2 linked regions of the Drosophila melanogaster genome follow. Changing the gene in region 2 together with the main gene of any one other region gives a genetic interaction. Each region holds a gene or a part of one and is shown on either strand. Other genes may lie near its edges.

The links.
Region 1: of S2P (region 2) and Drice, changing one suppresses a phenotype caused by changing the other (phenotypic suppression), as found in Drosophila melanogaster (one study listed by BioGRID).

What each region holds. Positions count from the first base shown.
Region 1 is NT_033777.3:29,796,883-29,804,400, reverse strand, and holds Drice (death related ICE-like caspase), read right to left. Parts: upstream 4,744-7,518; 5' UTR 4,504-4,743; coding exon 3,484-4,503; 3' UTR 2,817-3,483; downstream 1-2,816. Other genes in the region: CG7789 (uncharacterized protein), read right to left, coding at 115-656, 721-1,099; Etfb (electron transfer flavoprotein beta subunit), read left to right, coding at 1,561-1,611, 1,742-2,452; Rnb (R and B), read left to right, coding at 5,132-5,293, 5,400-5,492, 5,570-6,163, 6,221-6,559, 6,625-6,831, 6,908-7,455, 7,517-7,518.
Region 2 is NT_033778.4:11,839,449-11,847,080, reverse strand, and holds S2P (site-2 protease), read left to right. Parts: upstream 1-2,840; 5' UTR 2,841-3,127; coding exon 3,128-3,202; intron 3,203-3,253; coding exon 3,254-3,691; intron 3,692-3,758; coding exon 3,759-4,772; 3' UTR 4,773-4,978; downstream 4,979-7,632. Other genes in the region: Sln (silnoon), read right to left, coding at 971-1,003; CG43190 (uncharacterized protein), read right to left, coding at 2,165-2,356, 2,415-2,567; CG34229 (uncharacterized protein), read right to left, coding at 5,002-5,235, 5,319-5,357.

The sequences.
Region 1 (7,518 bases), on a different chromosome or scaffold from region 2:
GCATTCTGAGCCCAGTTTTAACAATTTTCAAATTTCTAACCTGTTATTGCTTAATTTATGTGTGTTTACTTTTAGTGCAAATAAACTAATAAAGTGCTGGAATTCAAAGCTATCTCACTTGGCTCCCACTGCTGCCCGCACCTCGGCGGGAATCTTTTCCACCAGCGCGGCATGGTCCTGTCCCAGGCTGGCCAGCACTCCCTGTCGATTCACGTGCTCCACATCCGCATTGTAGGCGTAGTGCTCGCCGTTGATGTTGGTGAGGCAGCCGCCCTGGGCCTCTAGAACGGCCTCGGGTGCGCAGGTGTCCCACTTCTTGCAGCCCGGCGTGGCGAAGACGTACGCGTGGGCCTTTCCCTCCAGCAGCTGGAGCACTTTGAACCCAGCGCCTCCGACTTTCAGAACTTCTGTGGATGCGAATGCGTTGAGGGCTTGCTGATGCAGGGCATTGGAATGCGAGCGAGTGGTGGTTATGATGAACTGGCCGGCTGGCGCGGGGACTGCCGTGAATCCTCCCGTGCCCAGACCCTTCAGGCCCCAAATGGTGCGACCCATTTCGCCATCGGGCTGTTGGTAGAATGGCTGATGAATGATGCCGCCCACAGCAGCATCCTTCACGGCTATGCCGATCAGGACGGTCACGTGTTCAACGTGTCCTGCGGATGAAAGGAGAACATTTAGTTTTATATAAGGAGCTCTACAGGTATCTCCAGATCGCACCCTGTGTATACTCCGCTGTGCCGTCTAGGGGATCTACCCATATGACAAAGTCCTCGGGCTTGACATCCTTCCACTCAGCGGGGCAACTGTGCTGCAGGAATTCCTCATCCAACTCGTTCACCAGCCAGTCGTCGCAGACATTCAGATCGGATCCACCCTCCTCGCCAATGATCTTGACGGTGGGGAACTTTTTGGCCAAGGAGGCGATAATGCAACGCTGGGCAGAGCGATCTGCCTCCGTCTGCGGATCGTTCTTGCCCTTGTCCACTATGCCCAGGTCACCCTTCTTGAGCACGTCGCGTATGATGCCGCCAGCCCGCTTGGCGGTGCTGATCGAGGACGCCATGACGCGCATAATTACCGGAGCAGTTGCAGCCATCGTTATTTTATTTGTATGGGACAAGGATGCGGGAGATCTTTTCAAGATTGGAATGAGATGTTTTCGTCGCTGCAGAGAAGTGATTGCGGTGAAAGTAGAACAGCTGTTGGCGGCTAGAGAGGAGCGAAAAGCACAAAGTTTAGCTACTCCCCCGTAAATAGTTGAATTCGTAATTCATCAACTCCACAGTTTCAGAAATTATGTTTCCTAGTTTTGCTTAAAGTTGTTAGTCCTTTAAGATACATGAATTTAAAAATGTATTTCAGCGGGAATATTTGGACATTTTATAGCTGCAAATAATCGGCTGCTCTGTCTGGCAACGCTGTAGCCGGAGAAGACCTTTGGACCACCCGCGCCCCCGCCGCCAACAAATCAGTTCATTTCCATCTTGAAGAGGTAAGTTCTTGAAACTCAGTAAATTTCCGTAAATTTCATCAATTTTATAACTAATTTGGCAGAAAATGGCGCGTGTTTTGGTTGGAGTTAAGCGTGTGATCGACTACGCCGTCAAGGTGAGCCTGAAAAGTCGCCTGTTGCGCATCTTGTCCCATTGTCTTTTTATCACTTGTTGCGCTCTGTTTTGCGTAATCGCCTTAATTAAGCGGCAATTAAACTAATTCAGGTTACATTTATCATGTCCAGGTGCGCGTCAAGCCCGACAAGACTGGCGTGGTCACCCAGGGCGTGAAGCACTCGATGAATCCCTTCGACGAGATCGCCGTGGAGGAGGCGGTGAAGCTGAAGGAGAAAAAGCTGGCCGAGGAGGTGATCGCCGTCTCCGTGGGCCCGGCCCAGTCGCAGGAGGTGATCCGCACCGCCCTGGCCATGGGCGCCGATCGCGGCGTCCACGTAGAGATCCCGGCCGCCGAGTACGAGCTTCTGCAGCCCATCCACGTGTCGAAGATTCTGGCCAAGTTGGCTCTTGACGAAAAAGCCGACCTGGTCATCCTTGGCAAGCAGGCCATCGACGATGATGCCAACCAAACGGCCCAGATGACCGCCGCCGTGCTCGACTGGCCGCAGGGCACCTTCTGCAACAAGATCGAGAAGACAGACGCCGGTCTGACCATCACGCGTGAAATTGATGGTGGCCTGGAGACAATCAAGACCAAGACCCCGGCTGTGCTGAGCGCCGATCTCCGGCTGAACACCCCTCGCTACGCCACGTTGCCGAACATCATGAAGGCCAAGAAGAAGCCGCTGAAGAAGGTTACGGCCAAGGATCTCGGCGTGGACACCTCGCCCCGCATCGAGGTCATCTCCGTGGAGGATCCTCCTGTGCGCCAGGCCGGCGCCACCGTCGCCGACGTGGATGCCCTGGTGGCCAAGCTAAAGGAGGGCGGCCACATCTAGATGTTCCTCAACTAGAAAATTGTGAGCGCATATTCTACGTTTTTAATTAGTCGAAAGTTATCAGAAACGTGCATTTATCTAGCCGGAGAGTCGGATTTGCTGACAGGCTTTAAATTTCTCTGAATTCAACCCATACCCGTGTGCTTTAAGTGAACTATAAATTGGAATTTATTCTCGTTGTGTCCAGCTCTAAGAATAAAGTGATTGTAAGCTCTGAAATCGTACGATCAGGGTCAGCCAATGGCTGGACTCGTCTATTTTTCCGTCTCCGCGTGCTACCTTTTCGGGAAATGCCGCTCAACTTGGCGCCCAAAAGAGGCGACAGGGTCAACAGCAAACAGCCAATGGTCATTGATTTCTCATTGTTTTCAATCGGATTTATTAGCGGTTAACTTGAAAGGAGAACATTTGCTAATGTGCATTATATAAGAGTACAAATGGCATAGAAATAGTATATATTGTTCATAAAACACTCGACTACAGGCTAAAATCGTTTGTTTTCGTTTTGGACGACCATGACACACAGGCTTATACTATAAAGATATCTATGTGTATAAAATTGTAAAAAGGTCTTGTCTGTAAATGGTCTAAGGTAGATATAGATAAGGGTGGGCCGACATTCCTGATCGAGAATCAAAGAGGCGCAAGTTGTTCTATGATAAGGTTTAGTAGAGAATTTAAAATTTTGAGATCGTCTTTGTTCAGTTGGCAAGTTAAAATTGTCAAAAAATTTTGGCCGGAGTAAAAACCTCTTAGATTTCTAAGTTAAATCGATCTACTCTACCCACCCCAAAAAATATAAATACAGACGAGTAAATGCGACATTAATAAATGTCAATCGAAAGATACTTTGTGCCTAAATAAAATAAAACGGGCAGTGGCACCAATCTCGTCGAGCAATTGGGCAGGTTAAAAAAGTGTTGTATAAAAAATATGCTGCAAGGCCGATAGCCCATGAGGTTCTAACTTAATTGCGACTTGGTTTATCACACACCTCGCCGTACCCACCGTTTGATCCATACCATTAGCCATCAAACCCGTCCGGCTGGTGCCAACTGCTTGTCGCTGAAACGCAGAATGCGCGTCAGCATGGTGGTTATGCAGGGTATCTGCTTCTGCTGGTGCATCTCCGGAGTGTCCGGGGTGCAGGACTCAAAGTCCACGGCCACCCGCTGGCACACGAATGTGAGCAGGGTCAGGATGTCCAGCCGCTTGCCATTGGCCGCCAGTTCGGCGCACAGGCTCTGCATGAACCAGCTGCCGCGGGTGGTGTTGCGCCACGAATAGAATCCAGGAACCGTCGAGTAGGCGATCAGAAAGTCGGCGTGCACTGGAATCTTGTAGCTCATCGAGGAGTCGCCATCGGTTTCCGTCTGAGAACGCTGCATGGTCACTCCGCCATCCAATCTGTCGCCCTGGCAGGCCTGTATGAAGAACAACTTGGGTTTGCCGGCTAGCGAGGGGCAGTGATTGGCCGTGAAGAAGCTCCAGATGTTATCCAGCTTGTACTGTGTGTCCTTGGCGTAGATGTAGCCCATCTCGCCGTGCGACAGGATGGCGACCAGGATGCAATCACTATCGCTGTGATTCTGCGACGCTGCATACTCGATTGTCCTCAAAATGTCCTTGTAGCGGCAGTCCTTGTACACGGTCACTTCGAAGTCCAGCTGCTTGAGCACCCGAGTCAGATTCTCGCAGTCCACATTGGTTCCCGCGCGAGACTTCAAGGTGGGCACCTCGAAGTGCTCATGGTTGAAGATCAGTGCCATTCCGCGGTTCTTGTGGCGCATGTTGTACTCGGCTGCATGGCGGTCGGTGACCATTTTGGCTACATTCTTACGGTAGCTGGACGAGGGTGAGCTGTACCCGTTGGCCAGCTGCCCAATGGCTCCGCTGCCGTAAGGATGCGAGGATCCTGCGACCAGGCCGCTGCTACCCGCTCCTCCGGATCCCACGGAGCCCAGGGCATCTGTGTGATCGTTGGGCTGCTCCGGATTGCCCACCCTGATGCCCACCTGGTCGGCGGATTCTCCATTGTTAGTGGCGTCCATGGCTAAGTTCTCTCCTTGAGCCTGCGAAAACTGATGAGTCACAAGCACTGCGAAACAGGTTTTTCCAAATCTGTGAAAAGCTTGGATGCACGACTTGGGCAAATTAGCTTCGTTCTGGGGAAAGTCCGTGTTTACGCGCAACAAAGACAGCTAGTTATTAACTAATTACTTTAGTCGATTGCGTTTTTGTCTTTAATTCTGTAAGACCGTTGTTGGCAGTTGAAAAACACCAAATAGCGCCTGATTTGGTGATGACACTTCAGCCCTCGTGTCACGATTACGGTAAACAAAGAAAGTAAATAAATATAGGAAAAATTATTAAATGGGTTTTAAAAAATATTAAAATAATTTGAAATTAAAAGCTTGGAGGTAATTTTGTGGGAACTTGTATAATCTACATAAAAAACAGGCCTGCTTCCATTTATTATTGTAGAATCGAATTCGCATCCAAAGCTAAAACGTAAACATCAGTTTATAAATAAGGCAGACCGCTGCTGGATTTTCGAAAAATAACGTAAAATACCGTAAAATACGCTCTTATGCACGGTCACACTCTCAAAGAGGTTTGAGACGCACTGTAGAATTTGTTGAATTGTTTCAATTTGTTTAAAAATTAAGAAAATTACCAATGTTCTGGACACCAGAGCAAGTGGAGAGCATGCTGGAAGTGCTAAAGACCTCCACGGATCGAACAGTCATTTACAAATGCCTGGTGAAGCTGCGCACCGATCTGGTGAAGGATAAAAATGGCATTGTTTTATTTCGCACTGCTGGGGGCGTTCACATCATGGTGGGTTTGGGAGTCACAACGCTCATGGTGGTTTGACAGCCACTGCCGCTCACATAGGATCGTTATTCGAATCGATTTTTAAATCATTATTAATTGCGTCTTCCAGGTGCGACTGATCACCAAGCTGAATGAAAAGATAATGGAGGTGGTACTGAGCATACTGGGGAACTGCTGCACCGACGAACAGTCCTGCATTGAGGTGGGATTATCAGATTACATTTTTATCTTTATTTTGAACCACAACGGTTAAAAAAATTTAAAACTTTCCACTTTAAGGCTGTTGAATGCAAGGTGATTCACCCGCTGGTGACCATTCTGAAGACCATACCTAATCCCCTGATCCAGTGCCGCGCCTGCCGGATGCTTGGAAACATCGCCAAGAGCAAGAAGGCGTCCCAGTGTCTCACAGTGCACTATGCGGCCATTGCACCGGCCATCTGCCACATCATTGAGTCCACCAGTGCGGTGCAGACCCGCATCATGGCATTCCGCGTCTGCCGTTTCCTTCTGGCCAGCAGCCAGTTCCTGAAGTACTTCCTCATGGCCAATGGGTTCCAGCAGCTGATGCGAATTTTTCTGGCCGTGATGAAGAACGAAGAGGCATCCAAGGAGCCCGTTCCGGACATCGAGATGTCCACGCTGATTGGCCTGAAGAGGAACCAGCACCGTGAGAAGTATTTCGAGGAGGTAGCCCGGAATTTGGAGGGTGTTCGCAGTGACATCTTTGACCACCAGATGCTCAAGAATTCCACAAGGAACTGTGACTATGCGCTGCCCAAGGAAAATGAAGCGGCCGTTGAGCTGGCCCTCGAGATTCTGAAGTGTCTGGTCCTGATATCCGCGCAGCAAATTGGACTGAAAGTTTGGGAGGTGAGACTGTTTTCTAAGTTCTCCAAAACGTAGTACATAATAAACATTTCTTGTTAGTCCATTTCCTGGAATACCTCGCTCGCCTCCATTGTGTGCTTCGTAAAGGAGGACGGCGACCAACGGGCCTCTGCCCTTAAAATCCTCTCTAACTTCTGCAAGGATCCCTTCGCCTTCTACATGCTGAGCACTGCGGATGCCATTGTGGCTGCCTGCGAGATGCTCATGGCTGTGAACATGGCAAAGCCACTTAGCGAAAGCGAGAGCCGGCACTGCATCAACATAATCTTGACGCTATCCACCGATGCCTGCAGCCGCTCGAAGATCCGGAGATGTGGGGCACTGCGCAAGCTGGTGGCCATGATCCGGGACTCCAACTCGCAGAGCGAGCGATCATCGGTGAGATGGAAACCAAATCCCTCTTGACATCTGCTATATATAATGGCTTTCTTCATACCCAACAGCTATTTCACATACTTTACAACTTCCAATATGATAACTTAAGCATGGAACTCATGCTGTATGAAGGACTAATGCCCATGTTGGTGCGGGAACTAAACGATTACCTGACCAGCGATGATGAGCATCACAAACGTCGACGAGACGAGAGACTGCAAGGTGGTAAAAAAAGAAAACTGACGGATCCCACAACGCCAGAGACGCTGAGCAAGGTATTTATTTAGCAGCATAGCAGCTAGCATATGTTTACAAGCCACTTGCTAATTATACCCACTTTTTGCACACAAGTTCTCAAAAACCCACGAGACCTTAGGATCGGACTTTGAATCGCCGAGCAGTTCACCTAGGTCTTATCGCACAACCAGTCCCTGCAGTTCGCGCAGCATGTCACCGGTGTGCACAGATCTGCTGACGAATGATGACGACGACAACTATTCTCCGGCGTGCAGTGATGACGACGAAGATGAGGATGACAGCACAAATAATAGCAATTTGGACACAAGAGAGCGGCGCATAGCCGCCAATCGTTCGCAGCCTTCGAATGTTCTGGATATACTGAAACTAATTGAGGAGGGCAGCGAACCCATAGATGATCCGCTGTCCGACAAAGAGGATCTCGAGGAACTGAGCTCGGATGTACCACCGAAACTAGCCCCGTTCCGCAATACAACATGCAACACCATTGACATAATAGAAAACCTTATCTATCGCATCACGCTGATGGTGAACAAGCGAGTGGAGCTGGGAAAGCCAGAGACGCTCGACACTCTGATTAGAGCCATCAAATTGTTTGGATCGAACAATAATTTCCCAAATGCCCTGACAAATATTCTACTGTAAGTTGTCAAGCTGAACTAAGGATAAGCATGTATTCTAATTGCACGTATATCCTTTCAGTG
Region 2 (7,632 bases):
GCCGTGGCATGCGATGGTATACGATATCCTGGACGCCAAGAACCCCCAAGACCACCCTCTGCTGTCAGCTGGAATCCGGCTTAAGCTGTCAGGAAGCTTTCGCTGGGGCAGCTCTGCAATCGCTGGTTGTTTTCAATTTCCCAACATTTCAAGGCCTTTGCCAGCGCTTAATGAAACGGAAGAACCTTCCCCCGGGCCAAGTTAGTTGGCGCTCGTGTGTGGGCCTGAACGATAAGCGGTCAAGGTGAAAGGGGTGGCCTCAAGTCGGCTGGTCGAGGGTGGTATCTAGTCGGGGAGGGAATCTAGTGGGGAGGACTTGACGCACAACTTGTTGAGCCACCCGTAATTGCTAGCCCTCCGTAATAATAGATATTAGGTTGCACAGGCCTAGGCCAATTAGTTCACCCAATCAGCAGGACATTGATGCTTAAGTGTAGGGATGCTGTACTCCCATATGCGAGTGTAAACACCTACTTAAATTTGGCTCAAAATTCATGTTTTAAGTGTTTACAAAATCAACGATTGTAAGTGTAAGTATAATTATAAGCATAATAAAAAGTTACTTTTCATTTGTGTCAAAACTAGTAGAAATGAACACTTCTATTCGATTTAATAGGTGTCATTAAAGGTCAACACCATGCCACGACTGAACTTTGGCTTGTGGTTTTCGGTCTTTCCATCAGCAGTCGGGGCATGTATTGTTTACTTTCTTGTCCCCGTTCTTCTAAAGCGACTAAGATGGATGCAACTTGTGACGTTGACCCATTCTCCTGTCGCTTGCAATGTTTACGTACTCGTAAAACACTCTCTGGTCCAGTGCGCATGCTCACCAGAGGAACCCAAACTCCAGCTACCTCAATACGATTGCCATTGGCCCACTCCCCAGAAAAGGCAGCGAGGAGGAATCAAGGGGGATGGTTCCTGACCTTCCCAAAGTAAGGATAATGGGATGCTGGGTAGTACTACTCACCTGTAAATGCCAGTCACGCTGTAGGGACGACATTGCCGTCCTTTACTGAACGTGAAACGCCTTTGATGTTTCTCTTGTTGCTCGCGCTGTTGTTGTTGTTGCTTGGGGCGTTGTTGTTGTGCACCCAAATGCATTGGGTTGCCTCTGCTTTGGGTCCTTAAAGTCCTGAAGAGCTGACGTTCGCGGGCCTTCACCGGTTGGCCCAAAATAAATACTCTCTTGCTACTGCTGCTTCTGCCGGAACGGCTCCTTTGGCACTGAATCCTTTGCGGGTTCGTCTTGATGGTTTGTTCTCCGAATCGATTGCGATTTTCGTTCGCTTTTTCTTGAGGGCTTCCTTGAGGAACTTGTATGGGTTTTCCTAGGGGCAATATCCTTGCTGCTCTGGCGTCATGATGCGTTGATGTGACACACAGTATTCCCTGTTACTATTGTTTATGCAGCAGCTGTTTCCGCTTCCGCTTCCTTGTCGCCCCCTTCCGTATCCGTTTTCGGCACAAGCGCACTCTCTCACTCACTCGCTGGCGAATATGCAGTTTTTGGAACAAATCGATATGGGGCGAGATTCCAGCTGAAGTCCTTTGTTCTTAGCTTACTCAATCACAATCGAACGAATTGGATCCTTCCAGTGAGTTAAATTGGTTAAAAATACGCCTGAAGCTATTGAACACTTTCTCTGATTGGGAAAACCCTTTGCAAAAGCCTTTTTATTTTTCGTGAGTACTCTTCGTTTGTTGCCCTTTTTGGCGGATGCGACTGTTCTGCTGCTGCTCAAGCTCACGACTAAACTGATGATACTCATGTCCTCTGGAGGTCCATTGAAAACCCAACTCAGTTAAGGTGAACTTGGTGGTGGTGAGTTTCGGCATGGAAAAAGGAAAAACAAGAGTAAGAGGTCCTCTCTTCCTTTCCATTGGTTTTCATCCGTTTTGTTTTGCTAGGTTCTTTTGGCCGCCTGTTGCCAGAACCACCTACTTTTATTTCTGAAAACAGCTGATGAATGAATTACGAATTGCCTTACGAATTAAAGTCACACAAATTTAACAAATGTAACTTTACAATTTCTCATGCTAGATTTTCATATACCTATAATTTTTCAATTTTAATCAAAGTAGGTGTATTCGTTGCTCTTGATTACTGCACGGCAAATTTATAATATAAATCCAAAACTAAACGAGAACACTTTGCATTGCTCTATAGAGAAGTGCGTAGTTCTTCCAGGCTTTTGGTCATGTTCAACGCCACTCCAAGAAATATAAAGCTGATGGCCACAGATGAGAAAACGGCAGCCGGTAGGTTCTTGAGTAGCCACTGCAGGATCATCGTGTAGACGGCAATGGCCATGAGCAGCATGCACATGTATGGATAGGCCAGCCATTTAATGAACTGCAAAATCACAGGATTCTTAAGAATATTTCCTCAATTAATTTTGCTTCAGGTTAACCTTCCAAACTGCAATAATCAACAGGAGCGAGGATAATGCATAGAGAGCCGATCCGGTGGTCCACACAATCTTTACCGCTTCAGAGACACCTGATAAACTGGTCATGAAAAGATAGCCGGCAGCCACGCCCGATATACAGGATACGCAGGCCATAATGGAGACGATCAGCCTGCAAGTCGGCAAAAGTCTCTTATATGAGAATTCCTGTTCGCTCATGTGTTTGATGTATTTTAAGTCACTTAACACAATGGATTTTGAATTTTTTTATATTGAAAGCAAATCATTTTCATAAAAAAATTTTAATTGTTGTTTTTGAGTTGTTCAACAGTTTTCTTTGTTTGACGTTGAATAGTTGAAAATGTTCAAAACTTTCGCGCCCAAATAAGCTTGCTTATCGGTATTATTGATAAAGCGGCCATCGATAAGTTCTGCAATCGATTGCGATTAGCTTTTGGTATTTCGATTTTTTACGCAGGTTAATTTGCGCACAAGATTCCCAGACGTGATTAATGCTGATTTCTGGTCTGGACTACACAGCATTGCTGGTATAAGGAGTCGGGACCAGAGGAGTAAGATTTCGGGAAGGAATCCCGTCCGGTAGGGACTACTAGCATTCGCAAGTGACGTCCAGCAACCGGAGGACCCCCAACTGTAGAATCCGCATCACCATCCTAATCCCAACAAACCAATGACATCTTGAGACCTCACCAGCCATGGATCCCTTCGTGTTCTTCATAGTACTGGCATCGCTTTATGGCGTTCTTTACTTTTTCGACCGCTTCTTCAAGGTGTAGTATATCCAGCCAAAGTACGTCCAGATACTTAATGTAATCCCTTAGAGTTGCATGCACTACCCGTACGATGCCTTCCTCAAGAACACCGGGCTGAGTATAAATTTCATGAGCCTCCACTGGCACACGAGTGCCTTTAACAGGACCCTCCTACGCTGGGGATCTGCCGGTAACAGCTGCACCCGGAGAGTAATGATCACCAGCTTTAATGTAGGAGTCCTGGTCACCTTTTCTCTGCTCCCGATCGGTCTGATCCTGCTCATTGCCACTATCTTCAGCAGTGGTGAACAAGACAGCTCTTCGTCTGTATCCTCGCCCGTTGGAGTCCCTGTGCAGCTGGAAATTCTACTGCCCGGCGTCAACTTGCCGTTGGAGGAGATCGGATACTACATCACAACCCTTGTGCTCTGCTTGGTGGTGCACGAGATGGGACACGCCCTGGCCGCTGTGATGGAGGATGTGCCTGTCACCGGGTTTGGAATAAAGGTTAGAATGATATAGCGTACTTTACAACCTAATACGCTTACTAATTAGGTAAATATTAATATTTCAGTTCATCTTCTGCCTGCCGTTAGCATACACGGAGCTCTCCCACGACCACTTAAACAGTCTACGTTGGTTCCGCAAGCTACGTGTTCTGTGCGCTGGAATCTGGCATAATTTTGTGTTCGCTGGCGTGTGCTATCTCTTAATCTCAACGGTGGGAATCACTATGTCACCTTTGTACGCTTACAACCAACACGTAGTGGTCACTGAACTAACAAGGAAATCCCCGCTGAGGGGAGAGCGCGGCTTGCAAGTGGACAATCAAATAACCCAAGTAAACGGCTGCCCAGTAAACAGCGAGGAGAGTTGGGTGACATGCCTGCAGAACTCTCTGAAGCTCAAGCCGGGCTACTGTGTGAGTGCGGACTTCGTGCAGCTTAACGACGAAAGCAGCGCCATCTCACATCATAGCATTGATGGTCAGCTACAGTGCTGTGATGAACTAAATCCGAACGTAAGCTGCTTCGAGGTGGTGGAGGACGCAAATGGAGATGTGCCGGTGGAGCTGCCGCAGCATGTATGTCTCAATGTGCGCCGCACTTTGGAGGAGGTCTCCGAGCACTGCTCGTCCGGAGTTTGCAACGAGGGATTCTGCCTACGACCGCTTATACGAAATATCACTGCCATAATGACGTTCAAGCGACAGAATTTTCGCGGAGAGAAGCTGCCGCCGGTGATCTATGTGGGCCATCCATGGGATGTCACTCGAACTGTGGAGGTATCCGCCTTTGTGCCGAGATATAGCTTATTAAAGGCAGCCTGGCCGGATGCCTGGCTGCTGCTCCTCAAGTATAACGTGGTCTTCAGCATAGGATTGGCGTTGATCAATGCCATTCCCTGCTTTGGTTTCGATGGCGCCCACATTACCAGCACCGTGATACACAGCTTCTTGGTGGGCAGAGTGGATCAGCATGCCAAGAGAGATATCATCTCGTTGATAATCACCAGCGTGGGTTCCCTTCTCTTTGCACTGGCCCTGCTTAAGGTGGCCTGGTTGAGTTTTCTGCGACCCCTGCTTTAAGAACTGAAATGGAAAACTGAAATGGATCCTGGGAGTTCAACTCCCTGCAAAGACGCTAGACTGCTATTTCACCTTCACGAAACACACAAAAACACAGCGAATTGTAGCACCTCAAAGATTCGATAGCTTTTTGTCATAGTCCTTAGTCTTAACTCGTATTTATTTTCGTACGGTTGTCGAGCTCAAAAATAAAATCAAATTAAGCTAAGATTTATGTTCAAGACTGATCCTATTTGCCCTCGCTCACCCCGCTCAGTTGGAGGCTGGTCCTTAGTTCTGTGAGGCTGCGTCTGCCGTGCTGAAGGAGCATCTTGATGGCCACCTCGTCACTTTGATGGCGATTCGTCTGGAAGTCATGCCGTGCCCAGGATTTTAGCTCCAGCTGGCTGTTTTTGTCGGGAACCTGACGAATCGTTCGAAATATTTCCCGGTAGAGCTTCAGTACTTCCTGGCGCAGCATAAACTACAATGTAATCAATTCATTCAATTATTGTTAGTTTTATTAATATATTTGGAAAACCATAAAAATGATTTAAACCTGCTTACCTGCTTCAAACTAAGTGATGCTTTTGGTAACTTGGACATTTCTGCTTAATTGTTTTTTTTTCTTTATATTTTCTAGTTGAATTATTATTATTAGTTATTCTTTTAGTTTTCAAGTTATTCTGTCATTTTAAAAATTATTTGTAATTAGTCAAGAAAAATCATAACAAAAACAGCTGATGATAGTCAGATGTTAGAATTATAGAGAAGGACCGATTATTATTAAGCTTATACTGAACAATCGATATATTGATAGGCTTATACAAATGCGCTAAAATTTAAAATTCGAAAATTTAATAAAAATAAATAATAATTTATATACGTATAATCGAAGACTTTTTTATAGTGTCTGAACTTAATTTGTATATTCTTAAAAATAACTTTACCTTTCATTATTATAGTTTACTAACTTTCAATTAGTTTAATTGGTTTTCCTACATGAAATTAATGTTGTTTGTAGTACAATTCACCTGTTATTAAAGTGATCAATTATTATAGGGCAAAGGAAAACAATTTGTAGCGAAAGCCAACAGCAATTTATGTTAAAATCTCATTTCATCAACCGCCACTAATGAGTCAGTCGCAGAAATAAACTAAATTGTTGTAATGTCCTAACAAACTTATGTTTTTGCGCATTGATGCGGCGTGGGAACGAACGAAGTGACATCCAACACTAAATTTATCTGGCTCGTGTTCAAATCAAATTAAATTCTCGGCATTAAATGCCACATTTATCTACATGAGCACATTGTTTGATTGGCACGCCAGCTGCTCTGCCCCTGTTTCTTCTCTGATTGTGATGTTCTACTTAAACGATTCAATTGTTTCTTCGACCATTCCGTTTATTTACCATCAGGTACCAGACTCGCCAAGGGATTGGTACTATCTCCTGATAGTTGGTACTTGGCGTCGGCTAGTGGTAAGTTCTCCCCCAAGTACCGGGTTTCTTGATAGAATTGCCAACTGTTTTCCAAGCCAAGTGCCATGGTCACGTCTAGTGACCAATAACTCTGCTGGCCAGCAGTTGGGCCCTATGGAGAATGTGAATCAACCAGGTTAGATATTATATCTAATATATATTTCAGTGTTATTAGAAGTAGAGTCAAACCGTCTGTTTTTACGCGGAGAATATTTATATAAAAAAAACCATAAAAACTTAAAAAGATATTGTAAGTTAGAAATATTTTTAAAGTATCTTTAAGTTTACAATATATCTTAAAGTTTAAAGTTTACACTTTAAATTAGGTGGAAATATCCTACAAATTATACTTTACGTATTTCATATACTTTGAAATTTATTTAAGTTTAATTTTGGCATAGAATTTAGCCAATCGGATGATCAATATCGATTTAATTTATCCTCGGCACGCCATTTTCGACCTTTCTGGCTGTCAAAATGCATTTTCTCCTCGCGTTACTTAAGATGCTCCCCATTAATTTCCCACAGCCGTTTCTCTGATCTCTGACCAAGTGCGTTTGTCTCCGCCGGCGCACAAGTATTTTGTGCAAATTAAACAAAAATTGAACATAACATAAATATCCGATGCAGAACAAAACGAAGGCAGGTGAAGCGGTGAGATTTATTTTTAACTGCCCAATGCGCCTACATATAGCAAATTATGCAAAAGAATCTCGCGCTGCAGCCGAGTGCAATTTCGTTTTCGTTTTCATCTGCCAGAGATGCCAGCGTCTGCGCCGCTCTCTTGAGTCATTGCACTGCGAGAAAATACGCGTAAGTTATTGAAACTTTTTTGGGTAAGGAAAGATCATCAATTTGATATTGCATTTTTTTTAAAGTATATTTGTTAATTGAAAATAAGATAAATATGACACGCTGTTTAATTAAACTTTTCTTAAACCATCAAATCATATTAAAAAACCGTATGAATTCTGAAATTATCACTGCAAAATGAATAAATATTCTACTTCAAATTTTGCTAGCCTGTACAAACTTAGAAAAAACTCGTAGCAGATCTACGGTTATCTAAGTTATTGAAAGTATATAATTTTTCGCTGTGCGGCTGATGTTTTGGTCCCATTGGGGGTGGGCGCTACGTCATCACATCAGACCCACAGCTGCGCCACAACGATGACGAAGGAACGAAGGCAACAACACCGAGCCAGCGAGGCAGCGACTCAGCAGCAGAGAAGCAGCAAAAGCAGCAAAAGCAGCAGAGAAGCAGCAAAAGCAAGTAAAATCCACATGCCACCGGACGGCTGGCTCAAATGTTCATGAAACGCGAACGCGTGTGGACGTGGATGTGCGCGGTACCGCTTCGAAAAAAAAATTTGTGAACGCGAATCGGTATATTCGGTT